Arabidopsis thaliana: one gene and its partners. The protein of the gene in region 2 purifies or fractionates together with the protein of the main gene of each other region. This does not show direct contact. Each region holds a gene or a part of one and is shown on either strand. Other genes may lie near its edges.

Region 1 (9,935 bases), on a different chromosome or scaffold from region 2:
AGCATATACAAAAAAAAAAAAAAAAAAAAACTCGAAAAGAGAAAGTATCATCATCCACCACCATACGGGTCCGTATCAGCTTTCCTACCTGATTCTCCCTCCCCACAAACCACAACACTACCTACACTCTCTCTTGCTTTCTCTCCTCTCTGTTTTTTCTAGCTTTCTCTCTCACAAAATCAAAACTTTTTTTCTGTGTTCATTATCATCTCCTTAAATTCATAACAATACACTCTCATAATTCTTCTCTGCGTAGGAGAGACATTGCAGAAATAAAAGAGTTTTTAATAGACCCAAGAAAAAGAGAAAAAAAGCATTCATTTTTTTCTTGCTTTGTTGCTTTGCTTTTGCTTTTCTGTTTCTCTTCTTTTGTGGGCACAACAAAACATCAACAAAGTAATGATTTTGTGTTCTTCCTTCTCCTTCTGGTAATCTAATCTAAAGCTTTTCATGGTGGTGATGAAGTTAATAACAATGAAGATATTCTCTGTTCTGTTACTACTATGTTTCTTCGTTACTTGTTCTCTCTCTTCTGAACCCAGAAACCCTGAAGGTAAGCAAAGCAACAAAAAACGAGAAAAGACTCTTTTTTTTCTTATGGGTATTCGAAAGTTTCAAACTTTATGTACCCAATAATTGATTTAGAGTGATTCTTTGTTACAGTGGAGGCGTTGATAAACATAAAGAACGAGTTACATGATCCACATGGTGTTTTCAAAAACTGGGATGAGTTTTCTGTTGATCCTTGTAGCTGGACTATGATCTCTTGTTCTTCAGACAACCTCGTAATTGGCTTGTAAGTTTTCTTTGCTTTTGTCTTCATAGTCATTAATGGTGACAAATTCTTCATCTTTGTTTTGTTTTTTCCCAATTCCAGAGGAGCTCCAAGTCAGTCTCTTTCAGGAACTTTATCTGGGTCTATTGGAAATCTCACTAATCTTCGACAAGTGTAAGATTATTTTGTTTGTTTCCTCATTAAACAAAAGTATCTCCTTTGTTTGTTTCTTCAAACTCTGTTTTTGTTTTTTGGATTTTTGAAGGTCATTACAGAACAATAACATCTCCGGTAAAATCCCACCGGAGATTTGTTCTCTTCCCAAATTACAGACTCTGGATTTATCCAATAACCGGTTCTCCGGTGAAATCCCCGGTTCTGTTAACCAGCTGAGTAATCTCCAATATCTGTAAGTCTCTCTCTCTCTTTCAGATTTTAATCAATCAAAGATTCGTCTTCATTAACTTAAACCTCGTACGTTTGTGTAATGATTTGATTAGGAGGTTGAACAACAACTCATTATCTGGGCCCTTTCCTGCTTCTCTGTCTCAAATCCCTCACCTCTCTTTCTTGTGAGTATATAAAGTTTGAATTTTTTTCTTACTTTTTAACTTAAAGACTCATGTTTTTTGATGTTTTGGTTTCAGAGACTTGTCTTATAACAATCTCAGAGGTCCTGTTCCTAAATTTCCTGCAAGGACATTCAAGTAAATACCTTTTCTTTTGGTCTCTTGTGTTATTGTCAAAGATTGAGTTTTTCCTAAGTGTTTTCACTGTTGAATGTAGTGTTGCTGGGAACCCTTTGATTTGTAAAAACAGCCTACCGGAGATTTGTTCAGGATCAATCAGTGCAAGCCCTCTTTCTGTCTCTTTACGTTCTTCATCAGGTAAATCCATCCTTAAATTCAATAATCTTGCTCGCCTTTTCGTCGATTGTTTAATCCATTGCTTATGAGTTAGATACCATTTGGGATGTGTAGGACGTAGAACCAACATATTAGCAGTTGCACTTGGTGTAAGCCTTGGCTTTGCTGTTAGTGTAATCCTCTCTCTCGGGTTCATTTGGTATCGAAAGAAACAAAGACGGTTAACGATGCTTCGCATTAGTGGTTAGTCAAATCGAGTAAGCTTATGGTTTATGTAATTTGATTTTGTTTGTTGTCTAAAGTATTTTGTTTTGGTTCTTTATGTAGACAAGCAAGAGGAAGGGTTACTTGGGTTGGGAAATCTAAGAAGCTTCACATTCAGGGAACTTCATGTAGCTACGGATGGTTTTAGTTCCAAGAGTATTCTTGGTGCTGGTGGGTTTGGTAATGTCTACAGAGGAAAATTCGGGGATGGGACAGTGGTTGCAGTGAAACGATTGAAAGATGTGAATGGAACCTCCGGGAACTCACAGTTTCGTACTGAGCTTGAGATGATCAGCTTAGCTGTTCATAGGAATTTGCTTCGGTTAATCGGTTATTGTGCGAGTTCTAGCGAAAGACTTCTTGTTTACCCTTACATGTCCAATGGCAGCGTCGCCTCTAGGCTCAAAGGTAGTCAAAAAAATGGTTTCTGATAACTGCTTTTAGTAAAAAAAAAAATGAAATCACTTGAACTGATTTTTGTTACTGTTACAGCTAAGCCAGCGTTGGACTGGAACACAAGGAAGAAGATAGCGATTGGAGCTGCAAGAGGGTTGTTTTATCTACACGAGCAATGCGATCCCAAGATTATTCACCGAGATGTCAAGGCAGCAAACATTCTCCTAGATGAGTATTTTGAAGCAGTTGTTGGGGATTTTGGACTAGCAAAGCTACTCAACCACGAGGATTCACATGTCACAACCGCGGTTAGAGGAACTGTTGGTCACATTGCACCTGAGTATCTCTCCACCGGTCAGTCATCTGAGAAAACCGATGTCTTTGGGTTCGGTATACTTTTGCTAGAGCTCATCACAGGAATGAGAGCTCTCGAGTTTGGCAAGTCTGTTAGCCAGAAAGGAGCTATGCTAGAATGGGTAAGCAATCACTATAAGTTTAGATCAAACGTATAATCAAAAGATAGTCTTAAAACTCAATTGAGTTTTGCAGGTGAGGAAGCTACACAAGGAAATGAAAGTAGAGGAGCTAGTAGACCGAGAACTGGGGACAACCTACGATAGAATAGAAGTTGGAGAGATGCTACAAGTGGCACTGCTCTGCACTCAGTTTCTTCCAGCTCACAGACCCAAAATGTCTGAAGTAGTTCAGATGCTTGAAGGAGATGGATTAGCTGAGAGATGGGCTGCTTCACATGACCATTCACATTTCTACCATGCCAACATGTCTTACAGGACTATTACCTCTACTGATGGCAACAACCAAACCAAACATCTGTTTGGCTCCTCAGGATTTGAAGATGAAGATGATAATCAAGCGTTAGATTCATTCGCCATGGAACTATCTGGTCCAAGGTAGTAAATCTTGGACACAGAAAGAAACAGATATAATATCCCCATGACTTCAATTTTTGTTTTTGAGATGATATAGACATGTAAATGGTTATCAAACCTTTGAAAAAATTGAGATTCTGGGTCTAATGGTTAATATTTTGGATGTATATATTAAGGTTTTTTTAAATGTGTTGGTTTTGGTCTGTTATCCAAATTTGTAAAATTTGAGGTCCTGTGAAAGCAATTTTTGGTCAAACTCTGAGATTCATGTCTTATTATCAAAAAATTTACCGACCAACAACTTAATGATATGTTGACCTGTACTTCTAATTGTTTTTGTTCAATTTATTTTTCTAAAAAACATAACACAAAACAACAAAAGATGTAAAGTACATGATAGCTTTTATATACATAACCCCAACAAACTTTTGCTATTTATAGTCTCATGATCTTTGGTTGTTTTTGGATATTATTTGTTGTCATCAATTCGTTGTGTTTTGATCTTTTATATTCTTCTTCATATCACAGTCTTGATGCTATTACCCTAACTTAATCTTTATTTGAGGTTACAAAATGGTCTCTGTAATCCCCCAAGTCCATGTTTCTGTACCGTTTCAACAACAATGGAATGTTCTTTCCAAACTTCACTCTTACTCTTCATCACTGTATCATACTTTGTAGTAACAGAATCCATTAAACCTAACCGAATGGCGATGAAGCTGATACACCGTGAATCAGTGGCCCGTCTCAACCCAAATGCTCGAGTTCCGATCACTCCAGAAGACCATATCAAACACCTGACAGATATTTCATCAGCCCGGTTTAAGTATCTACAGAATTCGATTGACAAAGAGCTAGGCAGCAGCAATTTCCAAGTTGATGTGGAACAAGCAATCAAAACATCATTGTTTCTTGTGAATTTCTCCGTAGGACAGCCACCGGTGCCGCAGTTAACTATCATGGATACTGGAAGCTCACTTTTATGGATCCAATGTCAACCCTGCAAACACTGCTCATCAGATCATATGATCCATCCTGTCTTCAATCCAGCATTGTCTTCAACATTTGTAGAGTGTTCCTGCGATGATCGTTTTTGCAGGTATGCACCAAACGGACATTGCGGCTCATCAAACAAGTGTGTTTACGAACAAGTGTATATAAGCGGCACTGGGTCAAAAGGCGTTCTAGCTAAAGAACGGTTAACCTTCACAACACCTAACGGTAACACTGTTGTGACCCAACCTATTGCTTTTGGGTGTGGCTACGAGAATGGAGAGCAGTTGGAAAGTCATTTCACTGGTATTTTGGGGTTAGGAGCCAAACCCACATCACTTGCCGTACAGCTTGGGTCTAAATTCTCTTACTGCATTGGTGATTTAGCTAACAAAAACTACGGTTACAATCAGCTGGTTCTGGGAGAGGACGCGGATATTCTCGGCGATCCAACACCCATTGAATTTGAGACAGAGAATAGTATCTACTATATGAATCTAGAAGGGATTAGTGTTGGGGATACACAACTCAATATCGAACCAGTGGTATTCAAAAGAAGAGGACCAAGAACAGGGGTCATACTAGACTCGGGCACACTCTACACTTGGCTAGCAGATATAGCCTACAGAGAACTCTACAATGAAATAAAATCCATTCTGGATCCAAAATTAGAGAGATTCTGGTTTAGAGACTTCTTGTGCTACCATGGGAGAGTGAGCGAAGAGCTCATAGGCTTCCCTGTGGTGACATTTCATTTTGCAGGCGGAGCTGAGCTGGCTATGGAGGCCACAAGCATGTTTTATCCATTATCAGAACCGAATACGTTTAACGTCTTTTGTATGTCAGTGAAGCCAACCAAAGAACATGGAGGGGAATATAAGGAATTCACAGCTATAGGGCTAATGGCTCAACAATACTATAATATTGGTTACGACCTCAAAGAAAAAAACATCTATCTCCAGAGAATCGACTGTGTTCAACTCGATGACTATTCCCCATCAAAGTAAATATTGTACACGCAGACATGTCCATGTAAAAGAGACTCAGAAAGCTTAGAGAGTTTACCTTTTGAACACATTTGTATATTTTGAAGAACATACTCATCCCCAAATTCATGTTGTATTCTATAACAACACATTCATCTTGTTCTCGTCTTGACGACTTGCCCTCTCGAAGCTTTCCTCTCCATCTTCTCTCTCTTTTTACGAGACTTTTCATCTTCCACACCTCCCTACAGTTCAACGCCACAGAGACAGAGTAAAGCTTTTTGCATTGTGTAAAGAAGCTAATACTACTTAAAACTAAATGAGATTTACCTCTGAACCTTGTGACATGAATCCTCGAATAAGACCAGAAGCTTTATACACTCCAAACGCAGGAATCTAAAAACCAAACAAAAGTTACATCATTTCAATCCAATTCTATGTATCAATTTGTGTTTATTAACTAAGCAAACACGCATACCACAAGATACGTGTACCAAAACTTCCCAGTGATGATGGAAGCTAGCTGAACAAAGCAAGTGATATAGATGACATCGTGCAAATATCTGCAAAGGTCATCATATGATTCAAAATGCATAACTCAAACATCATAGTATGCAAATCCATAACACAGAAGCTAGCTTTTGGTTCTTGTTGATTCATTTAACACAAACGTACCCGCAGATTCCACCAGTGGTCATGTCAAATCCACCATCAATAAGCTCACCATCATCAGTAACACTAGGTTTAGCCATTTGATCAAGCTGCTTATAAGGAAACGCGTAAGCCAGCGAAGTTATCACTAAACCGATCCAATGTTTCCAAGTAAAGCTTGAGTAGAAAATCAACATCCTCACAACGAAATACACAGCCTGTGACCATAAATTACAAAATCCAATTCTCAATTCATGAAGAATCGCGAAAAATCGTAGAAATCTGGGAAACGTATAGATGGGAGAGGAGAAAATACATTGGAAGCGATGATGATACGACGGAGCTTAGCCATGTGTTTGGCGTTCTCTTCCTTTCGTTTCTTCGCTCCTTGATTCGCCATTCTTAATCTCGGATTTTAGCTCTCAATAGTCGTCGTCTGTTTGTTTTTCCGGCGAAGCAGAGGTTATTGAAAAAGACAACGACGCTCACTGTTTCGCTTCCGATGAATCTAGTAGTATATGGGCCTAAGCCTGTAAATAGGCCCAATTGAGCTTTCGGATCTGCGTTCTTGACAATCCACGGAAAGTTGTTTTGAGGGATCCTTAACAAGAAGCTGCAAATAATGAATATCCCGAATTCTCAATGCAAAAACACTTTAACCATATATACCTCATGATCACAAATTATTAAGTTTGATGTCTCCGTGAATCACACATTTTCCATGACAATAGGCCAGTGCCTGACTAAGACTTGCAATGTACTGAAATCAAGGAAAAGCCATCAGCTTCACCACAAGAAGCATGATAATCTTTCAGGGAGAGGGAGGGAGAGGGAGCGAGAGAGAGACACTCACAGTGGCGGCTTGTTGGTTTCGTAGAATTCGCTTGTCCGCTTTACTTTTGGCGCTTTGGGAAAGATCGTAAAATTTAGGTTATGTGCTTGACAGTGACACAATCACATTTTCAAGTTTTGATACACATTCTGTTTCAAGTTCAGTAAACTTTGTGTCAACATGGTTGAAATCGATGTCGTCCTAATCGCTCATGATAAATGGGAGCCTCTCGGCAATGAACTCAACATGTAAGACTTGTTTATGTTCTTTGCATTTTACATTGTCTGCATTTTTTGTCTTCTTTAAAGTCTCATTCATTACAAAAAGAGAAAAAGAGCAACTAAGCATTAACAGAAGGGATGAAGATATAAGATCAAAGCAGTGGATCCAGAGTAAAAGCACAAGAATATTGATGTGGACTTCTTGATCAATTTATAATAACTGCAAATCTACCATCAAGTTTCCTCAGAACTAATGCTTAGTACCAAAACAAAGATGACTATGGATGCATAAACCAAGCTAAGAAGATGACTAATAGAGGTTTGAGCATTGTATCAAGAGTGAAAAGTACAAGCCATCACATTCATCGGTGGGGGTTCATTGCAATCTTTTTAGTACAAGAAAAGAGTATTCATGTAGACTTCTTACAGAATCAATTCATCGTAACTGCGAATCTACCACCAAGATTTCTCATAGCTAGTGCTTAGTACAAAAAGATCATAACCAATGAATATAACGAGCTAAGAAGATCTGCCCACTGGTTCAAGAGCTTCAACAGTGACAATGCTGTTTCCTCTAATCACCTGCTCCCAAAACCAAAGTAAAACATCAGTCAAGAGCAGCAGAAGATTAACGACAAAGGGACACAGAATCGAGAGACTTACCACCATCCCGATGTCGGTTTTGTCGTTACCGTTCACCTCAACAGTGTTATCCACAACAAGATTCATGAACTGATCAAACCCACGAAGAGTTCCAGTAACCATTCGGTTAGCATTAAGCTTGACTGCATTTCAAATACAATTCATCAATCTCAACACATCAAGAAAAAATCCACTCTTTGCTAAAATCAAAACACAATCACCAAAAAAAAACTACTTTGAGTTCGATTCTAGACACTATAACTAAAATCAGTAATACCAAATCCAGTTCGATTCACAGAATAAAGTTGCAATCACATCTCAGCTAATGTGTTATACAAAACTGAAGTTCCCTAACTATCGATAAAAGAAGATGAAGATATTGAACTTACTTTGGAGCTTCTTATCCATGTACCTGCATCGAACGAAACAAAAACAAACAACAGATTAAGCACAAAAATTAAATCAGAAACACGAAGATATAGAAACAGAAAGAGAGAAATAAGAACAAGGGCTTACTTCTTAAGATCCGGAGGCTGACCTGAACGACTCATAGTTGCAAAATCGGAATTGAGCTTAGGGTTTTCGCTCTCGGCTTGAAGAAGACAGAGTTTGCTCTGAAACCCTAAAGTTTTGATTTTTGGAAGTCTAGTGTTAGCGTCTTCTTGTTTTTTACTACTCCTTTAAGCCCAATAATCTACTCAGGCCCAATAAACTATAAGGCCCAACTCATATGACTATTGACATGTTTCGTCGAAGTGTATTTTTTTTTTTTTTTTTAAGTGATTTTCCTTTTTCGTCGAAGTGTATTCTCTAGACGCTATTAATCTGATGTAATATCTTACAATCGTCTAACCAATTAATTAAATATTTTTGTTGTGGTCTAACCAATTGATCAAATATTTAGCGTCTAACCAATTGATCAAATATTTTTGATTTCACCAATCGATAAATTTTAAAAGTTACACTAAAATTTCACCACAACATCAAAAATGATAAGAAAAAAATTAAAATGACGAAGACATTTTTATGTCATTGTAGTTCTAATGCGGCCAATTGTTCGAATTGTTTCTATCGAATGATATTACATATACCATTTTGTTTTTCAGCATTACATATACAATTTTTCTGCCACCAATATGCATTATAATGAATTTAATTTAGGTAATAAGTGGTAAGTGGTGACACATCTATTATACTCACTAATTTTATATTTTATCTACATATACTATATTTAGACTAACAAAATTATAAATTTCACAAGGTTAAATTTTTTTCTTTATATATATATATTATTTAAACATAATGCATTATCATTTTTCTCTTATTATATTTTTAATTGAAAAATGATAAATATTTCTCTAAATTTTTCTACCTTTACATCTCATAAGCTTTATGCTTTTCTAGATTGTTGAGAGAGAGACAAAGAAATACTCTGGTGATGTAGCAATAGCAGTCTATGTTGATCGTTGTGTAATCGTGAGCTTACTTTGAGCGAACGATTTGCATTTCAGATTGTTTAGTATTTCTCTAATAATCAATTGATTTTTCTCGCGATTTACTTTATAAGTTTCAATTTGTGTTTCCTATTTACAAATTTAGCTCGGGATAACAACAATATATCAGTCCAAAATAAAAATTTCTCCACTGTAATACTTGAATGTACAGATATACCATGCCACAAGCTCTCAATTTCTAATACCGATTCATCGACAACAAAATAAATATAAATAAACGATTAATATAAAATTGGTTGATGTAAAACACTGAAACCTATTAATAATAAGTTGTGTATGAGAATGTATCGACTAGTTTTGAAAAGAAATGGAGTAAGAGCCGGTGTTGGGATCTTCACAGCCTTGAAGTTGTCTACACTCATCCCACATCGACCAAATATCGAGTTTCCCATCTCCTTTAGTTTTGCTCTTAAAACACCACCAAAACATATTATCTCATATGATCAAAAGTGTGGTTCAAGACTTTAAAATTTCAATATACTGTTAATAATACTTTTATTTTACGATAATTGGCTCCACTTTTTTTTTTAATAATCTTAAATTATTTTGTTTGAGTTTTGACCCCAAAATTTTATAGCCGGTCCTGCCAAAGACATTAAAATTTTAGTGTCCTTGAAACGTTGGTCCAGCAGAGGCAATTCAACATCATCCTCGCATATGGCAACAACCCATCTTGATCTATATCATGCAAATTTAAAGAACGTCCCATAGAAGAAACTTCATGATGGACATACCAAGAAGACAAAACCTTGATCTTTTTTGAGAAGACCGAACCTTAAATTTTATTTTTGTAGTTTCTTTTGGATCGTATTGCATTATTTATGTTGTATTAATAAATCGTGGATGCATTTGAGATTTTGATTTTGTTAATGACTGACTTTTAACTCTCAAACTTGCAAATCCTG
Region 2 (10,304 bases):
ACCAGTATAGTCTTTCATCAGGGAAAGCTTTAGCGTCTTGGGGCCTCACCTCTTCAAACTTCAGTCCTGTGAGTTTAAACAACATTAAGGTATCTTCAAACTCCTGGAACTAATGAGCTTCCAGTTTCCCACTTAAAAAATTGAACCCACTCACTTTGAGATTTTGTTGGGAATTAATGCAGGTATATCCAATAATAACGAATATCCAATCATAAATAAAAGCAAAGAAAGTACCGTATATTTTGGCCTCAACTTCCTTCTCAGCAACTTGTTCATCATTTATTCCTTTCAGATGTGGGAGAAGGCTCTGCAGAATAAACTTAGAGGCTTGGACCTTTTCTTCCTCGCTGACTATGAGGTTCGAATTTATCCCCTACATAGCATAGGAGTAATTATTATGGTAAGGAGCTTAAGTAAATCGAAAAATAATAATAAGCAAGCAAGATATGGTAGATACGAGAAAAAATTACTTTCAATTTAGTATCTAGACGCAAGCATGCTCTGCAATTGCAAGTACTAGAGCAGAACATGCATTTCTTGGCAACATCTTCTTTTGCTATAAGGGGGTACCTGCAAGAAGTAAATAGACCAATGTTTCAGGCTTCTGGACAGTAAAATGAAATCAGTAACAAGAAACGAAATTAAAGTTCAAGGTAAGAAGAAGATCATACCAAGTGTCCAAGCATGGATGACAATAACGCTTACTATTGCAGGTCTGACACCGTTCAACAATCCTATCGCTCTTTTGACATTGATGGCACATATTGTCCTATATAATATATCCCAAAATTAATGAATTGGTCGTCATGTAAGGTATGAAAAGAGTACAAATTTTACAGAGAAATCACTAACCGGTCTGTAACCAATGATTCTCGGGTCTACTGTAGTCTTTGGCTTCTTGCCCGGCTTAGTTGGAATCTCACCATCGATTTCTCCCTTCCTTTTCCCAATCCTAATTCCCTTTACTTCCTTGGGCATGCTTCCAGAAGCTTCTCCTACTTCAATAATGGAGTCTTTGCGATTCAGAATCTTAGTCGCGGCTCTTTTTTCCTTCACCAGACCAGTGACTCGGTTTGCTTCATCAATTTCGTTCTTTTGCATCTCCTCGTCTTTCTTCGGTGTCTTTTTCGGAGCCCTATTTCCACCCCTTTTGCCCTTTCGCTTGGGTCCTCCATCTTCTTCGTCGTCAGTCGGAGGATCTACGTAATTCGCCAGCTTCGTAGAAACCCTCCGATGCCTACGGAGACCACCGCGTCCGTTCTCTTCTTCAACCCTAACAACACCTTCTTCCTCCACAGAATCCATTTTTCGAAAATCAAAATTCTCAATCGTCCTCGGCGAAACTCTTGCAGCCCCCAATCAGCTACGAAAGAAAACCCTAGACACGGGATTTAAGGCTGATTTTTTATTTTATTTTGGGGAAACTGAATGGTTTTCTCAGATAGTAAAAAAGTTTTGGTTTAACTTGGTCAAATCTTTGGATTTATTTCCCGCTCTTTTCTTTTCTTTCCAAATTCTTTTTTAAATCATGTTTTTTTTTTGCTAATACAGGGAGATCACAGAAACCAGATTGTATATGAAGATGTTAAAACTTAAACTTGATTATTTTTTATTTAGCAAATAAGATTATATTTATTTACCCGTTTATCTCCATGAGATATGATACCTAATTACCTATGATATATCATTGGATCAAACGGTTGCAAGTTGCTGATATCACTGCAATTGGCATCATCAATGTGTAATGTGTTAAGAAATTAAAGTCAAATTAGCATTAGACAACACACATTAGTATAAACTAAAAGCTTATTGTTTCATTACGTTAGAAAACTGCAATATGATTGCGAAAGTACGTATTGCAAGTCAAGCATATAACATTTGTTAATACAGATGGATGACAGATTAGTAGTCAAGTTAATCTTTTTTTTTATTGAGAAGGAAGTTAGAGGGAAACATGTACTCTAGAGAAGACCAAGACTTTTAACGCATCTGTTCTATTCATTGTTATGCACAACTGGATGATGAACAAACAAAACTTATTAATCATCATAATTGACATATCGACTCAAAAATTATTAAGTCTTTTGCCATACATGTCTAAAACTACCAGGCAACGGTGTAGTAAACAAATATTATTTGTGTTGTTTACCATTATTTAATCAATTTATTTTGACCCAGTCAAATAACTATTTCATCTAATTTTTTGACTCAATCAAATAAAGATTTTTGTTAGGCTTTTTAAAATTAAAAAATTGGTAATAAGCTCGTACGAATCGGCAACTAGAACCAATAAAACACGTAAGGACCGAAGATATGAACCTGACAACGATATTCAAACTATCGGATTCCGTTGTGTGAGACAACGACTCATGGAACAAATGAATATATAAAATCGATCCTTATTTATATTTCCTCTAATTTGTGATCGAAGAAGACACAAAAAAGTTCGGAGCAAACTCCCATCAAACAAATCACGCGGATTCTCAGAAGACAATAACATGAAGGTATGTCTCCTGTGTACTCAACAACAAGTAATAACTTCGATTCTCTTGTGAAAGAGAGAGACTTCTCTTTGTGATGTTAAGGAGTTCTCTTATTGTACTCAGCAAAAGATCCTGATAAGAATTGCTATGACTGATGACACAACTCGAGCAAAGGCAATGAAAACTGCGGTTCAGTTTAAAGGTAACAATGATACAAACACTAGAGAACTTGATGATTGTAATTCTTGTTGAATCTAAAGATTTATCGCATTGGTTTATAGGCGTGAACGCTGTGGAAATAAAGGGAGATCACAGGAACCAGATTGAGGTGACCGGTGTTGAAGTCGATATGATTGCTCTAATCAACACACTCAGGAAAAAAGTTGCATTTGCGGAGCTTGTTAGCGTAGCTAAAGTTGAACCACCTAAGGATGGTGACAAAAAGCCAGAAGAAGAAAAGAAACCCGAAGAGAAGAAACCCGAAGAGAAGAAACCTGAAGAGAAGAAACCTGAGCCATGTTGTCAACCATGGCAAAAACCTGAGCCATGTTATCAACCATGGCCTCATGATGGATATGGTGTGCCATCTTCCTATCCCTACCCGTGTGATCCCTACAATCAGATCGGGGAACCCGTTTACAATCAAGATCCCAATTGCAGGATCATGTGAGATAGGTTTCATGTGGAAGATTAACGGAGGAGATAGCAGTTTTTCTATACTAAGATTGTCAACATGTTAATGCAATTTGATAGTCAGATTTGTTAAATGAATAAAAAGTCTTGAGCTATCAGTATCACACAAATTCTCTACTTGTAGATGCTCTTATAACATGTAAAGCCAAATCTTGTTATCCATGGAATTCCATTACAAAGTAACTCCTTACTAGAGCATCAATCATACTATTTCTCAATCAAATCTTTCCTTTGCCAGAGTTGCTAGTTACATAACTCGTACATTCTCCTAAAAATTAAACTCACAAACCTTCAACATGTTCCAGAGCGCTGCTACATCTAACGACCTCTGCCGCGACCACGCCCACGGCCACGTCCGCGACCGCGTCCAACAGCTTTCCCTAAAGAAGAAAGAAAGAGAGAACGAATAAATGGACTGATAAAGAAGTCTTTTAGCTTATGAAGACGAATATTACAAACACCAAAAATGAATGAAGCAGTACCAGCAACAGGCTTCTTAGGTTTAACTCTAGGAGTGTCTTCCACAAGTAAAGTCTCGAGGTTCAAGCTATCAGGAAGAATGTAGTAGCGAATATTATTACCCCTCAAGCTAAGATGATCAAGTGTTACTGGGTTTTTCCCCTTCAGGCTCATCTTCACTGTCTTCAAGTGAGTGTTCATGCTCACATCAACACCTGCCCAAATCATCAAGCTTAAACTTCAATAAATATACCTTTATGACTACTGGCTCTAACTGTGTGTTTACTCAACCTATTCATGTGATCACAAGGACGCGATTAGGGCCAATTGAAAATAAGGGAACAGATCGCGACTTGTATAAGACCTAGCAACGGAGAAATCGAGAGAGAAGAAAAGATGAGAAGAGCTACAAAGAAACCGGAAGCTAACAATAAGAACTTACCAGTGATGGTTCCATGGACCACAGTCCCATTCTTCAGCTCGATAGACACAGTTTCATTGTTTAACTTCATCAAAAACCTACTCGATCCAATCAAAACCATATAACACAAATCAGCTCAGGCTCAATATTGGGAATGGATTCCATGCCAGGAGCTAACTAAGATTAAGAACAACATGAATTTTCTAAAGAAAAGAAGAACTGAGAACGAAACAGTACCTGACGAGCTTCATCTTTGGATGCGAAGAAAGAACAACCAAACAAAGAAATTGACGAGGAAACAGCGAAAGGTGTGAAAACCCTCAAAACCCTTCTTTCGCTGTGAGAGACCTCACGATGGAGCGGGTACAGATCCGATTCCGGTTTTGGATCCATCAGCTAAATTACAATATTGGGCCCAAAAATGTAGTAAGGCCCATAAAGTCCAATGGTGGACCAGTAGATGTTTCAACCAGAAATCTACATACAGTTGGTTCAGCAAACCGGAAATTGAACACGAAACGTTAATTTCGGAAAGGCGTAATAAAAGCGCGCGAGAGGTTGATAAACACGCGTCGAAGAATTCGCGCGTGAAGATTGAACGACTTCAGACGAGAAGACGCTTTTCAACGTTCTCTATGCGTTAAACAGTTGACTGTTGACAGATCTCCTCCGGTAGAGAGAGAGAGAGAGAGAGAGAGAGTTCTCTGAAAAAACTGCGTAAATCCTAACTCGTCAATGGCGGATTCGAGCTCCAATCAGAATCGATACACTCCTCCTAATCAAAGGTAACTTCTTCTTCTTCTTCTTCAGTGGTCTTTGATCTGCTGATTTCGAGTGTTCTTTATTCTACTGATTTCGCTACTCCGTTCTTACCTTTCGATGTTGCTTCTCCGTGTCACAGGAAGGCTTCTGGGAATCGCCGGAAGTCGGGAGGTATGTGAGCTCTCTCTCTCTCTCTCTGTCTTCTTTGCCTCAGTCGTTCTTTATTGATTCTTAATCAATTCGGTTCTTAATTCCGAGAGTATCTAGTTCTGTGGAGATTATAGCTTAGATCAAAGATTGTCGATGAATAGAAGTAATCTTGTTTTGTAGATTCAGGAATTGATTGCATGCGAATCTGTACACATTGTGTTTGTGCATAGTTGGTAACTTCAAGAACCGTTTCTAAGAAAGTGAATTATTAGGAGTTTAGCCTGAAATTCAGATCTCGCTCTCTCTTTATTAGCAAATCCGCTGGTTGATTCATTTCTCCATGTGTGTACTTGACCCATTTGTTTGCCTGTTTTCTTGAAAATAAATCGTCGTTCAAGCTATATCTGGTTTTGCTAGTATGCTATGGTTCTTGGCTAAATAAAGAGTGAAATGCAGATCGAACAAGTAGCCAACAGAACAACGATAATGAGAGAAATCAGCCTCCTGCTACTGGTCTTCAGATGGAAAACATATCCCAGACCCAGAGGATAATAACAATAAAGGACTGCTCCAGGAGTGCAGCTTATCAGCTCATGAGCCAACGTATAAATCTGAACTATCTCTTTAAACATTTAGCTGGTTTATTCTTTGCTCTGTATCACTATCTGGTCGTTCTTCTATCAACTGTTGCTATGCTAAGCATTTGTTGAGTCAGTGCTAGTTTTAGAAATCTTTGAACTTAATAGATAAGGTGTGTTGAATTCACTGCTTATGCAGTCAGTTTTATGTACTTGTCTTATTTACGTGCTCTTGATTTGTCATGAACAGGATGGGCAGCTGAAATGCATCAATACGACGACCCAACTGTGGATCTATCTGGTGAGATTAAGGGATTCTAAGTTTTCCTTTGTCCTTTGTGTCTATTATACTTGTGCTGCTTGAGTTGCCTCCAAATACAATCAGATATATCTATGTTCTTATCTGGATCTCTGTCTTCCGGTTAGTCAAGTATAACTGATTTTCAAGTTTGCCTACTTTCTCTGTTTCACAGTGCGACCAATCATGTACTATGGAGGGAGTGTTTGGGGTAAACTACCTCATCAGGTGGAACTAACTTCAAACTCTTATCATATGCTTCTAGTTTTTCTAAAGATGTGAGTACATGAATGATGAGACCCCATCTCTTGTTTTGTGTCAAAACAATTACAGATCCTGGCTGCAGCAAACAAGACATTACCTCCTCCATCGCCAACGGATTACATGACTGAAGTGCGGCGAGGATTGCTGATGCCAAAAGCCAACAATTGAATGGTTCTTGTTCAGATGATGGAGCCCATATAGACTAGTGAAATGGTGTTTGTTGAGATGGCACAAGCGGTGGTATGTCAATGACTTTTATATTGTGTGTGTGTAGGATAACAGATATTGCTTTTGTCAGGATCGGTTGTTTTCTCTGGTCCCTGAAAGTGTAAAAAACCCAAACCAGAGATTTGAGTAACAATCACGTTACCATCTCATTTTAGCTTAACTGGATTACAAATTCATTGCTCCTTTCATCTGTCTTACAAAGTTTGGTTTTGAATTAGACGGGAAATAGACCGTCTAGCTAATAGAAGCCAGTTGTTACAAAATTTATGTGAATCCAAGTACTAAAAGTAATAACACCAAAAAGGCAAATGTATAGTAGTACATACTATTATCTGTATGTCTGAAAAATCCCATTGGTCGATCAATGAATAAACACAATGCGGCAGATGCAATCAATAACCAGTTGACTTGAAACTTAAACTGACTAGACCGATACTGGTCGTGAAAAAGCTAGGATTCGTAGCAAGTACTCCAAAAATTAAAGAGAGATTTATCATTTTGTCCTTTTCAATCAAGTTTATTATTTTTGTCTTTAAATGATCAAAACATGTTAAGTTAGCTGGTACATTGCAATCATTTTTCCACATCTTAAGCCGACGAGAGACAGAGAAACAGAACGAAAGGATTTTTACTCTTTCTTAATGAAACAGAGCTCTTTATTTACCAGATTAGTAATAATAATGATATAAAAAAACGAATTCTAACGATACAAAGAATTTTAAAATTAGTTGAATTCTCAACTGCTTCTTCACACACACTATCTCATAAACAAGATATATATATATATATATATATATATATATATATACAATTCATTGTCGTCGTCATCATCATGATCCTTCTTCATTAGTCATTTACTTTCCTCTCTCTTTCATCTTTCAGATCCAGAGAGAGAGAAAGAGAACAAAACATGAAGCTTTATTCTGTTTCCATCATCATCTTCGTCTTAATTGCTCTCTCCACCATAGTTAATGCTCAACAAGCTGCTACAGATTCCTGCAACTCAACTCTACCTCTCAACGACCTCACCTTCAACACCAGCCTCCTTCAATGCACCGAAGCTTGGACTCCCCAAAATTTCATCCTCCGAGTAAGTCAATTTTCCTAATTTTCAAATTTCCAACTCTGAAAATATTGAAACCGAATTTCTAATAATATTCACGCGTAGTATGCAAGAACGGCAGAGAACACATGGAGCTTTATCTTATCGGCGCCGGATTCAAGCGCTTTCATCGGGATCGGATTCTCTACCAACGGTCAGATGATCGGAAGCAGCGCGATCGTTGGTTGGATACCTTCCGACGGCGGTTCCGGGACTGTGAAACCGTACTTGCTCGGTGGGAAATCTCCCGGAGAGGTTAATCCTGACCAAGGAGATCTAACGATCGTCAACGGCTCGTTGAAGATCGAATCAGTGTCGTCGCGTCTTTACATGAGATTTCAATTGACGGCGACGCTGCCGCGGCAGAGTCTTCTTTACGCTGTGGGACCTGCCGGATTCTTCCCATCTTCGCCGGATTTTAGGTTGAGAGAGCACCGCTTCGTGACCACCACGACCATCAATTATAATACAGGTAAGCAAAACCCAGCTTGACTAATTATTTAAAGTCAATCTTGAATTAATCCATTATTTGACTGCTTAATCATTTTATATCTCCACTAGTTTGGTAAGCCTTCCAACAACATAATATTTTTCTAAGTTAATTCAAAACAAATTAAACACATGCGATGATGACGATTAGGAACTGGTTCAAGATTGTACCATTATTCTTTGTTGGAGTCATTTTCACATTATACCGACCCTGCCCAACTACTGCTACTACTACTCATATAGTTTCCAAAACACTAATTTCCAATTTTCTTATTGTATTTTTTTTGGTCAAAAAACACGATTGAATTTATTTAGCCACATTATGAGATTATGGGACTCTCTAGAAGTCTAGATGCTGTAGCTTGGAGTAGTAATTAAGTTTTAGTTGATTTTTGTACCAAATGGCAATTCAACAATATTTCGGGTAATAAAGACAAAACAAAATGATGTACAGGTCTTTTGTTTTTAATATCTCATCATTGTCTATTTTGGTTTGTTTGATTTGATGATTGTGAGATGCAGTGAAAAAACAGATTAACTTTTTCATGAGTAAAACTTAGTGTTAAAAATTTTCAAGATATGGAGGGTACAAAACTTAATAAAAGAACATGAGTTTGTATTAGAATCTAGAAATTCTTCTTGTTTCGTAGTTGCTTGGACTAATTTATGTTTTGGTTTTCCATTGATGAATGTAAAAGGTTCGCAAAGTGTGGTTAAAGTTTCACCACACTCTAAGCTAAAGAAGACACATGGGCTAATGAACATGTTCGGCTGGGGAATATTGATTATCGTTGGCGCCATAGTGGCTCGACATATGAAGCAATGGGACCCCACTTGGTTCTATGCCCATATCGCTCTCCAAACCACTGGTTTTCTCCTCGGTTTAACTGGTGTCATTTGCGGTTTGGTTCTTGAAAACCGGCTCAAGGCCAATAATGTTTCCAAGCACAAAGGCCTCGGGATAACCATACTTGTCATGGGCGTTCTTCAGGTTCGTCTTCCTAATAACACTCAAAAATTTGAAGTATATACTGCGAAGAACACCCAAGACGATTATATGTTTACATGGTTTTGTTTATTGATATTTCAGATGCTGGCATTGCTAGCTCGGCCGGATAAGCAATCGAAATACAGAAAATATTGGAATTGGTATCATCATAACATAGGAAGACTTCTGATCATACTGGCTATTTCTAACATCTTCTACGGTATTCATTTGGCTAAAGCTGGAACTAGTTGGAATGGTGGTTACGGTTTTGCGGTCGCGGTCTTGGCCTTGACGGCTATTGGATTAGAAGTTAGAAAGTTCTTGAAAAAGTAACTTTTATTTAAATGATCTCTCTTTATTGTCTTGCAACCATATTTATCTTGGTTAGGACAGTGTGATGTATTGAACATGTTATTGACTAATCATTTGAATGATATGTTTTTTTTTTTTTTTGAAGGTCTATTTGTTGATACAAGAATTAATTTGTGTATAATGTTTTTTTTTTTTTTTCACTATTTACAAAATTATAATCTGCTTCATATCCTATCAACTACGGACCTTCACGGTCTTTTGGGCCACGATAGACATTTTTACTAGTTAAATGCTTGGACTTCTATATAAGAAAGGCCCATCTCAATTAAAAAACTTAAATGCTTTAGTTTGTTTTAGCAAACTAATGGGCCAATATAAAGGCCCATATCAAAAAGAAAAAATGGTTGACGACTCGGTAATGCGTCAGAGAGATTCAGAGACATTGCAGAAATTGGAAGAAGAAGAAGAAAGAGATGTTGAGAACTCGCCTTCTCTGGTTTACGCTTGGTTTTTCCGTGACCGGAGGTTCCATTGCTCATATCGTGTGGCGTGATCTCTATGCCGAACGTTTCGCTATTTCTTCTGATGTAAATTTTCAATGTTTTAGAAATTCATCATTTGGGAAAGTTTTCATTCGAATATCCTGCAAATCGTTAACAAAATTCCAATGCTGCAGATGAAGGAGAAATTCAGTGCTCTGGAAGGTAGAGTATCAGGTTTGGAGTCTGGTGGTTATGAGAACCCGAATCCAGCTCAGGTCAGCTCTTTCTCTACCTCTCTCCCTCCATTCGTAACTATGATTTGATTGCTAGTGAGATAATCTCGTTACTCTTTTAGATAAATTAAGCTATTCATATGATCTGAGTTTTACAGAAAGCTTTTTTGTTTGGTTGGTTACATTGATATTGTTCATTGATATTTAATCAACTTAGAATTCAAGAATTTCTAGAGAGGTCAAGCAAGCGTAGTAATTTCACCACTGCCTGTATAAGCCACAGAATGTTGCCAATTTACTTAACAAGTTTTCTAAAGTTTGGTTGGACAAATTGCTTGAGAATTTCAATAACAAAAGCAGTT
Region 3 (10,304 bases), on a different chromosome or scaffold from region 2:
AGTCTCAACAGTTGCTGCATATCGTCGTTCTCGAGCATTTCGTTACTTCTAGCCCTAATCTCTTCCTCTGATAAAAACCCATCAACTCCTCTGTTGCATGTATTTGACCAATCATTGTAAGAGTTAATCTCAGGAGGAGGATGAACAAGTTGTTCTTGGTTTTGAGATCCTGTTGCTGGACCCAGTGCCAATCTCACACCACCGTTGCTATTGATCATGCTTTGTGATTCATGAGTGTTGTTAACTAGCTGGTCTTGCGGTGCAAATGAAGAGTTTCCAAAGTGCATGTATGTAGTATCAGCTAGCTGAGATTGACCCGGGAAACTTGAAGCCGGACTCTGGTTGTATGCTGAAAAACCCAATGAATGACTGTTAAATTCGGTTCACACCAAAACTTAAAAAGATTCGACATTTGTGGACTGAACCTCTACCTTCAACAGTTACGTCTGAATAAGATGTAGATGGTTGGCTTGGAACTGAAACTGGCATAGAGTAATCAATATCATCTGTTTTGCTAACTTGATTGAAGTTCATAAGTGACTTGCTGTCATACTCAATAACCTGTTCCCAGTTTTCATAGGCTTTCCTCACCAGTCCATCGACGTAACCCTGCATCATATATATAACCTTTTACTATTTTCCGAGTATATGATAGAAGAATCAAATCTGTATCTATAAGAAGCAAGAAGACCCAACAAACATACCTTTTGATTGTCAGAAAGAGAATCAGCAGGATAATACTGCTTTCCTGATATAAGACCACTAAACTCGTATATATTGTTGAAAACAACACCAACTGAGTCCTCGGGATAGTAGACGTAAAGCATTTCACTCAATACACATGTCTTGGAATGCTCTGCAAGTGTCTCCCACATCCTGTTTGACATGCCACTTCCAAGAATCTGAAAATCAGAGTAAGAGTCATCATGATGAATAATAATATTTGAACATCTTGGTAAGATACTGGATAGTTAAATCGTGCACTCACAGTCCTTAGTTTCTGAGAGTCTTTGACCATAAGACGCAGGAATTCTTTAACATTGTAGATTCCTGCTTTATTGAGTTTCTTATGGAAAGCCCCGTCCTTTCCAATCTTTTCCAACCTCCAGACCTCATCATCCAAAGCAGGTGGGTAATGTTTCTTGTACACTGTAGGAAAAAAAAACATTAGGCAAAAGAAAAACAAAGATTCAGATACATCAATGACTAATATCAAAGGAAAGCAAGAACTTACACTCTCCACGATGGTCCTTCACGGTAAAAGCTTCTGTTTTTGCCTCGCGTACACGCATTCCCTCACAGTAACCCGAAGAGACCCTTAAACCCAGCCTGAATTTTCTGCATCTAATCCAACTTGAGTTGTCCGTAAAGATAAGTTCCCCTAATGTTCCCACACCTTCTTTCAACGTGACCTGCACATCACCAGTCAAGAGAGGCCTCTTCCCTTGACGTTCTTTCACCAAATGACCCTCAAACTCTTCTCCACTCCAACCATCATCATCTTCAGTGTTAAAATCACCATCAAGCACAACAACATCAAGCTTTGCAGAAGCTTCAGGTCCTACTGTCAAAACATGTCCAGTTGTCATATCCAACAGTACAACATGGATTGCAGCACCTTGCTCCCCTTCTATCTTCCCTCCAGTAAACAAAGGAACAGACAATCTAGACCTGAATTGTAGCTGCAAATTCCTTCCACCGATACCTTCAATTCGTTTTGGAGACGACCTGTGAACTCAAGCATTAGAAGAAAACCACAAATACTCCAACCATTAATTTTATCTCTTTTTAAAACAGTCATATGTTACCTTTCACTAAGTCTTGCAGGGCCAAGCTTTGCCAATGCCCGCTCCACCTCTTCACTTACCTGTTTGACAATGCTCACAAAACAAATCAGTAAGCCAAAGAAACAACACAAAGCACCAAAAGACATGTAAACAATTCTTATTAAGCTAACCACTCGGCGAAGAATCGGTTCCAAAGAAGAACAAAGCCTCTGTAAACTATCCATCTTCAAGGCTTCCACAATTACACTGCAATAACACATACACAACTTTCTCAAATCCACAGACAATCAATATACATAACAACCCTTTTTTCATTCATACAACTACAAATCAATTACAGATTCAACAACGCCATAATCAATAATCAGAAAAATTACAAGCATCAACACAAATTACCTTGCAAGAGCTGGCCTTTTACGCTCAGGCTGTTGCTGCTGCTGCTGATTATCATCTTCCTCCAATTTTCTCTTCTCTCTCATACTATTAGTCCTCTCCATATACCTCGTCTGCATTTTTTACGCTGCTAGAAGCTCTGATCTATAAGATCGAAGCAAGTAAAAAACTTCACCAACCCAGAGAAAGAATCACAAATCCAGCTCTCAAACTAAAAAAAAAATCAAAACTTTACCACAAACAAATCAAACCCAGAAGCTAAGCAAGATTTTATGAATTCTACTTAAAAGCTTCTTCAAACAAACGGAAAGAGAAACCTGAAAATTCGATTCGAAGGAGAGAGAAAAATACCTCAAAAATGGTGTTTTGGATAGAAGAAAAAGAGAGAGAGATAAAATGAAAAGATCAAAAATTAATTTACTTGAAACACTTGTCTAGTTTTGTGATTAGTCGAGTACTTTGACTAGTTTTAGTAATTAAAGATAGTTATCGGGTGCGGACAAGATCACAGTAGGCTTGGATTGCCGTCACTTTTGCTTTTCGTTTATTGGACGACATTCTTGGGCCGGCGGCTAGTGTATGTATTTTTGGCACATGCTATATTCTAAAGTTGATAATTAAATAATAATACTTTGTTGTATAAAGTCCAATTATTTGTTATTAAAAAAAGACTTTAATAGTAAAAATACATTCATTTCACCAATAGCAAGATTAGGGATAAGATTCAACAATCAACATGGATATAAAAACATCTAATTGCAATGAAAAGTTAATGTTCACATAGATTTCTGTATTTTTATGTTAACTTTAACAGATTATATTCTGATTGGTCTATTAGTATAATTAAACTTTCAATCTACTTGAGCCCTGAGAATGGCCAACTCGGTCAGTTCACCAAACAAACAAAAATGATACAATTTTTTTTATAATCAAAATCAATTGGTTTTACTTTTTTAAGGTTTGAAATTTAAACAGAGGTTAAAAAGTTGCAACAAAGATCAGCCAAATTACATAACACTAGATTTAACCAAAAGGGACCAAATCTCTTTTTTGAAGTTTTAACCAACCAATCCACTAGATTCGATCAAGCTCCTTTGTCACTCACTACATTGCAATATATTATACGACATTGAAGAAAAGAAGGTATCGTCAAGTACCAATTAAGCTGAGGAAGAACTCAACAGATATTTAACATAAGCTTGAAGGTCATCGAAGAGAGTTGTTTGAGACAGACATCACTTTCCCCTGTTAACATAGAAAGGATTTTGTTTCAATCTTTTGTTATGTGACAAATCAAGCTGCTATACATCATAAAGAGAGAAGACAGAGTAGAGATTGTGTTACTTACGTGTTCATCATCAGAGTTATGTTGTCTCCTTTGAGTAAAATCCTTCCTGAAAATAGGTATTAACACGAGTTATCAAACCATAAGCAGACAGATCTGAGACTTGTTATCAAAGAGTGAGTTCAGGATAACTCACCAAGTGGTTTCCTGGTGTTCTTCTTGATGCTCACTTCTTCAGCCTCATCCAAAACTAGATTCATGTATTCGTCAAAACCCTGCAAAGGACGACGGATAAGCAAGGTTTGATGGATTCTCCTAGAAGAATCAATAATACACCCAAATTCAAGTAGACAAAAATCTAAGTTTAAAACCGAGTAGAGTGACACTATCACAAATATCATGTTCCTCCATACATATAATCAACCTCAGAAAAGCTAGGATCTTAACTCGAGGAACAACAAAAGTCAAGTAGACTGCAACATGGAACAACAAAAGTCAAGTAGACAACTCAAACCTTTAAGCCAATGAGAATGACACCATCACAAAATCTCAAGTTTCTCCAAATTATCATAGAATCAAACTAAGAAAAGCTTGAATGCTTGAATCATAACTCGAAAATCATAGAGGACATACAACTACAAGCATAGCAACAAACTGAAACAAGTAACACCCAAAGCCAAGTAGGCTGTAGGAGACAATAAGTTTTAAGCCGAAGAGAATGACACAATCATACTCAACCTAAGAACAGCTAGCTAATCAAACTAGTTTCTATTGGCAGGCTCTTATCAGTTCTTTGTGCAGTAGTAGTAACAGTGACAACTATCCCTTTTCAATTCACAACAAATGCAACAGTTCAAACACAGACTAAATTAGAGAGATAGTCACACTGCTAATGCATTTCAAACTCTCCTAAAGTTAGCATAACCCTCGAATGTCCTATAAACAAAGCCAGGAATCTAATCAATTCATGATAACGGAGCTTCAACATCAACTTACAGTGATTCTTCCTTCAATCCTCAAATCTTTCTGCTCAAATAGCCAAATCTGGATCCTAGCTTTCTGCATCACAAACACAAAAGACCAGGGAACAAATCAGTAGACGAACTACTAATAACCTAAAACCTCAGAGAGCAAATCAGAAGAAATTGAACAACTTACACTTTGAAGAAACCTAAAAATCAAGTTCTGGAGCCGCCGCCACCGGAAAACAAAAAGCAAGATACAAAATTAGGTTTCGATAGAAACAATAAAGAGATGGAACAAAGGAATCGAAGAAGAAACGTACGATAGGTTGGGTCATAATCCTTTGAACTTTGGTGCTCGCCATGGCTAACGTAGTTGGAAATCTCTCTCAAGCTTTCGAAAATTCTCTCTCAGAGGAAATCTAAAACCCTAAAAAGCGTTTGTCCCTCTGCTAATACGCTTTTTTCAACATTTTTCTTAAACTTAGTTCTCTCGGTCCTCATAAAACTTCAGAATGTTATTTCAGCCCATAACTAATTAATGTGATCATTTGGCCCAAATACTCTTTTCCAAGACCTAGAATTTTTTAGCGTAGGTTTTTAACTTTTTTTTTTTTTTTTTCAGAGAAAGATTTATTTTTAATATACTGAGGCTCAGTGTTACAACATAAAAGGCTCAAGACAGTCTACATATGAGGTCCACAACAGACTTTTACGTCACAAAAAAGAGATAAGCTTAAGACGTGTCAGACCAATAATAATAAGCTAAGGACACGTGAATCTTCCACAACCTCCACCGGATGAGACTCAAGTCTGGTGAATCGGAGAACCATCGCCGGGAAAGCACCGAGCAATGAAACTCTTTTTTTCTATCACCGATTATGGCAATTAGATGTTATAGAACAAACATCAATTTCCTAATCTCATATGGTTGCTAGAATCACAAATAATTCATCAAAACGGGTAAAGAAATTAAAAAAATTGAGTAGTTCAAACTTGTCCAACCATTGAATCTTCGAACTCTCTTGCAAAAGCACTAAAGGCATATCAAATTTGCATAGGATAGAAGCTTTAACCCAATCTTAGGCGAAAATAAAATTGAAACTGTCTTAAATATGGTAGATCCAAACGAGGGTAATTGCTGGAAACGCACACATCGCCGAAAAACTACCAGAGCCAAAAGCATAACCCAATAGTGAAGCTAAACAAAACAGAAGGAGAATAGATCTTGTAAAGAGAAACCCTCTTCAGATCTGACGATTCTGCATGCCATAAAGCTTCATCATCAAACCTTTGAAGTAACAAAACAAAAACAAAGATGACCAACGCTGTTAGTGTAAGCCCAACGCTGCCGTACGGAAGCTGGCCAACGTCGCTAAGTTAGCCAACGATGCCATACAAAAAGCCAACCATCTCCACTAACGTAGCTAGAAGATGTCGGACGAAAGCCCGAATTAAACGGGACGGCGACTCACCGGAAAACTATCCGGTTAACAAAAACAAAAGAAATTTCAGTTTCTATCTTTACAAACTACGAGAGAGCGAAGAGAGAAAAACTTTTTTGTGTGGTTTATTAACTTAGGTTTTTAATTTTTTATTATTCTGGTAAAAATATACGACTAATAATGATAATTATTAAAAATATTCTTACTTAGAAATTGGTGTCGATGATAAATTGGTTCTCAGTCGAACTAGTGTTAAAATAAATAAAAATATGACAAAGAATCACATCTATGTGCTCAATGCTAGAATTACAAAGATTGAAGAGAGATTGAAATTTGACCAAATATTATCTTCCCACATTCTTATAAATAAACAAACTTCATTCCTCACAACACAAAAATGTACAAAACCAACAATAAGCAGAAATTAAAAAGAGAAAAATGGTCACAATCTCAGATTTAAAAGAAAAGAAGACTAAAAAGCTTAGGCTATATCTATGACTAACTGAATCAAATCCAAATACAAAACAATTAGCTTTGTACAAAGAATCCAGCTTTGAATCTCAATCATTCATTATTTATCATCAGAGATTGATAAGGAACCTTCTTGATCTCCACAAATGTTGAGTACTCAGTGCTCATTGGTTGCTTCCATGGCTCACCATCCATTTGCAAGAATGCGTCTCTCCAGTCACCTCCTCTTAGCTCAAATCTTACCGCAGCAGCCTGAAATGATCACCAAAATGAAACAGTCAAACACATGGCTAAAAAGATTATACATTGACCAGTGTCTTTTGAAGTTACCTGAGCTATGTGCTTGGCAGAGATGAGCTCAGCCATGACAAATGACGCGTGCCATCCTTGCTTAAAACCGAAAATCTCTATCAAACCATCATCACAATGTGCTTCCACAAAGCCTCTCTGAGAAAAACCAAAGAAAACATTCGGGTTAACATCAGAGAACTGAGTTCATATATGATGAAATGGAACAGAAACAATACCTTCTCTAGATAGTCCGGTTTTAGATTGCCCCAAGGATGGCTTCCACTTCCATAGCTGTGAAGATTCAATGCGACAATTGATCTCACACTACAAGAGAAATCCATAGCATCAGGTTTTAAGCATTGATATCAAAGATTGTAATACATAAATCATATATCGAAAACTGTTTTTTACTTTTTCGGGACTGCGATCTCTTCCCACTGAGAGCAGTTAACCTTTTTGATGTGAATTTTCATTATGTTCCTAAGTCCCCTGCAAATTCATATAGCACAAACAAGGGGTCAACAACACAACAAAGGGCTTAAGCAGAGACTTACACACAAGTTCAACTACACAATAAGAGTCGAAATGGCGAACCTTAAACCTGGATCGTTGACACAAGGCGTGCAAAACCAACCCTGACTGCAACCAAAACTTGAATATATAATCTGCAAAAGCAAACATTGTGTGGTTGGTAATGTCGTTTCTCAAAACCAACATAACTACTTTAGCTTTTAACAAAGACAAATAATGAGTCCAAAGTTTAGGTGCAAATATAATAAACAAACCTTATTTGAAATAGGGCCTTGAGCAAGATATGGTTTAGTGTTGCGAAGATGGTGGAAGCCATATGCAACTTGAGCATCCATACCTAAACAAACCAGACAAACACAAGAATCTGGTCAGAAAAACAATTGTGAAAATTGTTTAGGATATCAAAAAGAGAAGTTCAACAAACCTATGCTTAAGTAATTGTAGAAAACACCTTCATAAGCCTTTGCAAGTGGAGGCGCATCAATTCCCGCGTCCAAACCCTGAAACCACCATAAAGCCTGGTTAATTACTAAACCGTGGCAATTTACAAAATCACATGCTGATGATTCAATGAGAAGAAGCAAGCCTAATGAAATAGAGCAAAACCTGATCAAGTTCGTTTTCTTCAGCGGGTTTTAAAGAATAAGGAGGATCTACGACTTCTCCAGATGGCATTGACACTAAAATCTTCCAGCTGCAACACCACATAACCAAAGCGCATACATTTTTACAACAAGAGAAATACAATAAAAGCTAAATGTTTTGAGCAAAATAAGACTTTTACCTGTCAAGTCTAGCAACTGGACCCATACTTGCGCGATGGAGTGTTCTTTTAACAGCAGATCTCCACGCAAAAGGAAACGAACCACCCTGAAGAAGAGATACCATAGTCAGTACCAATTCAAAAGTTTTGTCACGACAACATAAGAGAGAACAAAGAAAACACAACTCACCCAACCAAAACTCCTTGAAAGATCATTCCCTGTACCGAGAGGAATAACTCCAACAGGAGGAATTTGCGACTTTCCATCTTTATTAAGCTCTCCAAGACATCCAAGAACCCAACCAACAGTACCATCACCTCCTGCAACCTATCCAACCAATTCCATTCACAATTCTGATTGCTAAAAACATTCAAGTGGATCTATAGAGATTGGAGAAAAATATGGTCAATACACTCACCATAATCCTCAACCTTGCTCTGCATTCTTTTGCACATTCATCTCCTTCCGCTGCCACTTTCTCCAAACACCCCAACCCGTATCGAACAAACTCATGCGGCTTCACTTCCGTGAGGTCAAACACCTGTATCAACACAAAAGTCACCATGAAGTTTCAATATCAAAAGCTCAAACCAATAACTTGACAACATCAACATCACTCAGCTTTCCAAAAGACTCAATCTTTAAACGTAACTCATCCTTCAAAGTTCCAACAAAACACTAGATCTAACATCAGCTAAGCATAAACATATAAATCAAGCATTAAAAACTTAAAAGCCAGAGACTTTAAGAAAGTTTCCAAACTAACATAATCAAAACACAAAGTAGATACAAATTAGATTCGAAATTCCCCCAAAAACCCAAAGAAAAAGATTTGAAATACAAGTTCAGTGAGAGCAAAACCTGTTCCTCGCTCATCAACTGTTGAAGCCTCTCTTTAAGAACAGGACCATGACGACCACCAGAATTGGGGTTAATGAAAACAACCATAGGAGCATGAGGAGCCATATCAGCAACAGCACCACCAGGAAGAAGTAAATGATCAGGAATAGCCGAGGAATCTTTGCGTTTGATACAGTCACGCATAGCGAGACGAAGATACTCAGGCATCATCAACCTCTGACGAAGCTCTACTTTATCTACACCAACCCATGCCAGATTCGCGAGTCCACAACCTCTCATCGTCTTTGAATCAGCCGTTGATGGTCGTGAAGCCACGAATTTCTCTTTCGATGCATCGGTTTTTGATACCGGAGAGTCCATTGTAGTCTCTCGCCGGAGAAGAAAAGACAAAAAGATGATTACTTTTCGTCCTGTGATTGGAGAAAATGAGGAATATTCGAAACCCAGATAATCAAAATTGGAGTTGAAATGAAAAATAATAAAGGATTGTTTTTTTTTAATCTTTCTTCTTCTTCTTTGCTGAGAGATTTCAAATCAACCAATATAAAATCTTCTTTTGACAGTTTGTATTTTCTTGTCTGTTTTGTCTTTTTTATAAATGATTTAGTTTCGAAGACAGCGCACAAAACGTGTGAATTAATTTGCTTATATTGAAAAAAAAAGAATTTACACGGTTGGATTTCAATGTGACGTCATAAAAATGCCACTCTTTAGATCTTTGATTCTTTTTCTTTTTTTATTGTTTGACATTTATGAAAGCGACTGATAAATGTTTATTTTGTAAAAGTTCTAATTTAGAATAATTTTGATTATTAATAATATTAAACTACTAAGATTTGTATAGTTTAATACCATTATCTTCTGTAACTAAGATTTGTAGATCTTTTGTTTCTGTAAGATCAAATTTACAATTTAAAGTGTACAAAATCTTACAATACTAATGATGGCATAAAGAGATTAACAATGAGATTTTTTAACGTTATTGTTATATCAAGAAAACCAGAGAAAATTAATTAGTAATTGATTGATACATTGTAAGAATAGGATCTAATGATATTTTAATATTCAAAAAGGTTCCATTATAGAGGTTACATCTGGTGAATATGATTGAATACAATTTGATATAGAGAATTAGAGATACTTGCATTATTATTTGCTTCCTATTATTATTTGACTGCATTATTGGTTTCTTTTTCTATGTAAAAAATATTTTCAACTCTCCAACAAAGAAACAAAATTCTCTGACATTTTGCTTAGAAAGAGTGGCGTTTTCGTCATTAAACAAAGGAATAGTTTTGGTGGTAACGTAAATTGTAAAAAAACAGCGAAGGAGACAATAGAAAATGAGAGCAGACATTGAAGTTAGTGGATTTTCCACAGAATGGGGCCTACAATGTTATTGCCCACTCAGAGAAATAGGGTCACTGAAAGTGATAGCTACTTCCCATTGCTGGGATCGTTGTGTACTTTTTCTAACCTAAATTTCCCTCAATGCCTTTTTCTTAACTTATAGA

What was found.
Region 1: the proteins of AT3G07590 (region 2) and SNRNP-G fractionate together in Arabidopsis thaliana (co-fractionation; one large-scale study listed by BioGRID). This does not show direct contact.
Region 3: the proteins of AT3G07590 (region 2) and AT2G18740 fractionate together in Arabidopsis thaliana (co-fractionation; one large-scale study listed by BioGRID). This does not show direct contact.

Annotation. Positions count from the first base shown.
Region 1 is NC_003071.7:10,180,485-10,190,419, reverse strand, and holds SNRNP-G (Putative small nuclear ribonucleoprotein G), read right to left. Parts: upstream 8,170-9,935; 5' UTR 8,068-8,169; coding exon 8,033-8,067; intron 7,929-8,032; coding exon 7,906-7,928; exon of another isoform or gene 7,660-7,905; coding exon 7,538-7,659; intron 7,457-7,537; coding exon 7,394-7,456; 3' UTR 7,050-7,393; downstream 1-7,049. Other genes in the region: AT2G23950 (Leucine-rich repeat protein kinase family protein), read left to right, coding at 451-553, 664-796, 878-949, 1,041-1,184, 1,276-1,347, 1,423-1,482, 1,562-1,662, 1,756-1,884 and 3 more; AT2G23945 (Eukaryotic aspartyl protease family protein), read left to right, coding at 3,815-5,191; AT2G23940 (transmembrane protein (DUF788)), read right to left, coding at 5,323-5,415, 5,501-5,566, 5,649-5,733, 5,846-6,039, 6,138-6,221. UniProt on the Arabidopsis thaliana protein: Probable common Sm protein, is found in U1 and U2 snRNPs and may be part of the spliceosome.
Region 2 is NC_003074.8:2,417,149-2,427,452, reverse strand, and holds AT3G07590 (Small nuclear ribonucleoprotein family protein), read right to left. Parts: upstream 4,403-10,304; 5' UTR 4,308-4,402; coding exon 4,294-4,307; intron 4,155-4,293; coding exon 4,078-4,154; intron 4,000-4,077; exon of another isoform or gene 3,864-3,999; coding exon of another isoform or gene 3,851-3,863; coding exon 3,659-3,850; intron 3,557-3,658; coding exon 3,495-3,556; 3' UTR 3,466-3,494; downstream 1-3,465. Other genes in the region: IBM1 (Transcription factor jumonji (jmjC) domain-containing protein), read right to left, coding at 3-66, 235-373, 471-570, 672-769, 853-1,305; AT3G07600 (Heavy metal transport/detoxification superfamily protein), read left to right, coding at 2,499-2,504, 2,607-2,685, 2,765-3,153; AT3G07580 (uncharacterized protein), read left to right, coding at 4,792-4,841, 4,958-4,989, 5,425-5,571, 5,797-5,847, 6,020-6,072, 6,178-6,276; AT3G07570 (Cytochrome b561/ferric reductase transmembrane with DOMON related domain-containing protein), read left to right, coding at 7,247-7,426, 7,505-7,910, 8,626-8,918, 9,018-9,248; AT3G07568 (fanconi anemia group D2 protein), read left to right, coding at 9,701-9,814, 9,904-9,984. UniProt on the Arabidopsis thaliana protein: Involved in splicing regulation.
Region 3 is NC_003071.7:8,117,822-8,128,125, reverse strand, and holds AT2G18740 (Small nuclear ribonucleoprotein family protein), read right to left. Parts: upstream 4,906-10,304; 5' UTR 4,793-4,905; coding exon 4,751-4,792; intron 4,651-4,750; coding exon 4,624-4,650; intron 4,525-4,623; coding exon 4,462-4,524; intron 3,741-4,461; coding exon 3,662-3,740; intron 3,575-3,661; coding exon 3,529-3,574; intron 3,426-3,528; coding exon 3,416-3,425; 3' UTR 3,048-3,415; downstream 1-3,047. Other genes in the region: AT2G18750 (Calmodulin-binding protein), read right to left, coding at 1-349, 432-609, 705-902, 989-1,149, 1,235-1,728, 1,809-1,867, 1,958-2,033, 2,184-2,299; DGK3 (diacylglycerol kinase 3), read right to left, coding at 6,437-6,595, 6,674-6,790, 6,871-6,958, 7,046-7,123, 7,229-7,299, 7,420-7,502, 7,590-7,665, 7,772-7,859 and 4 more.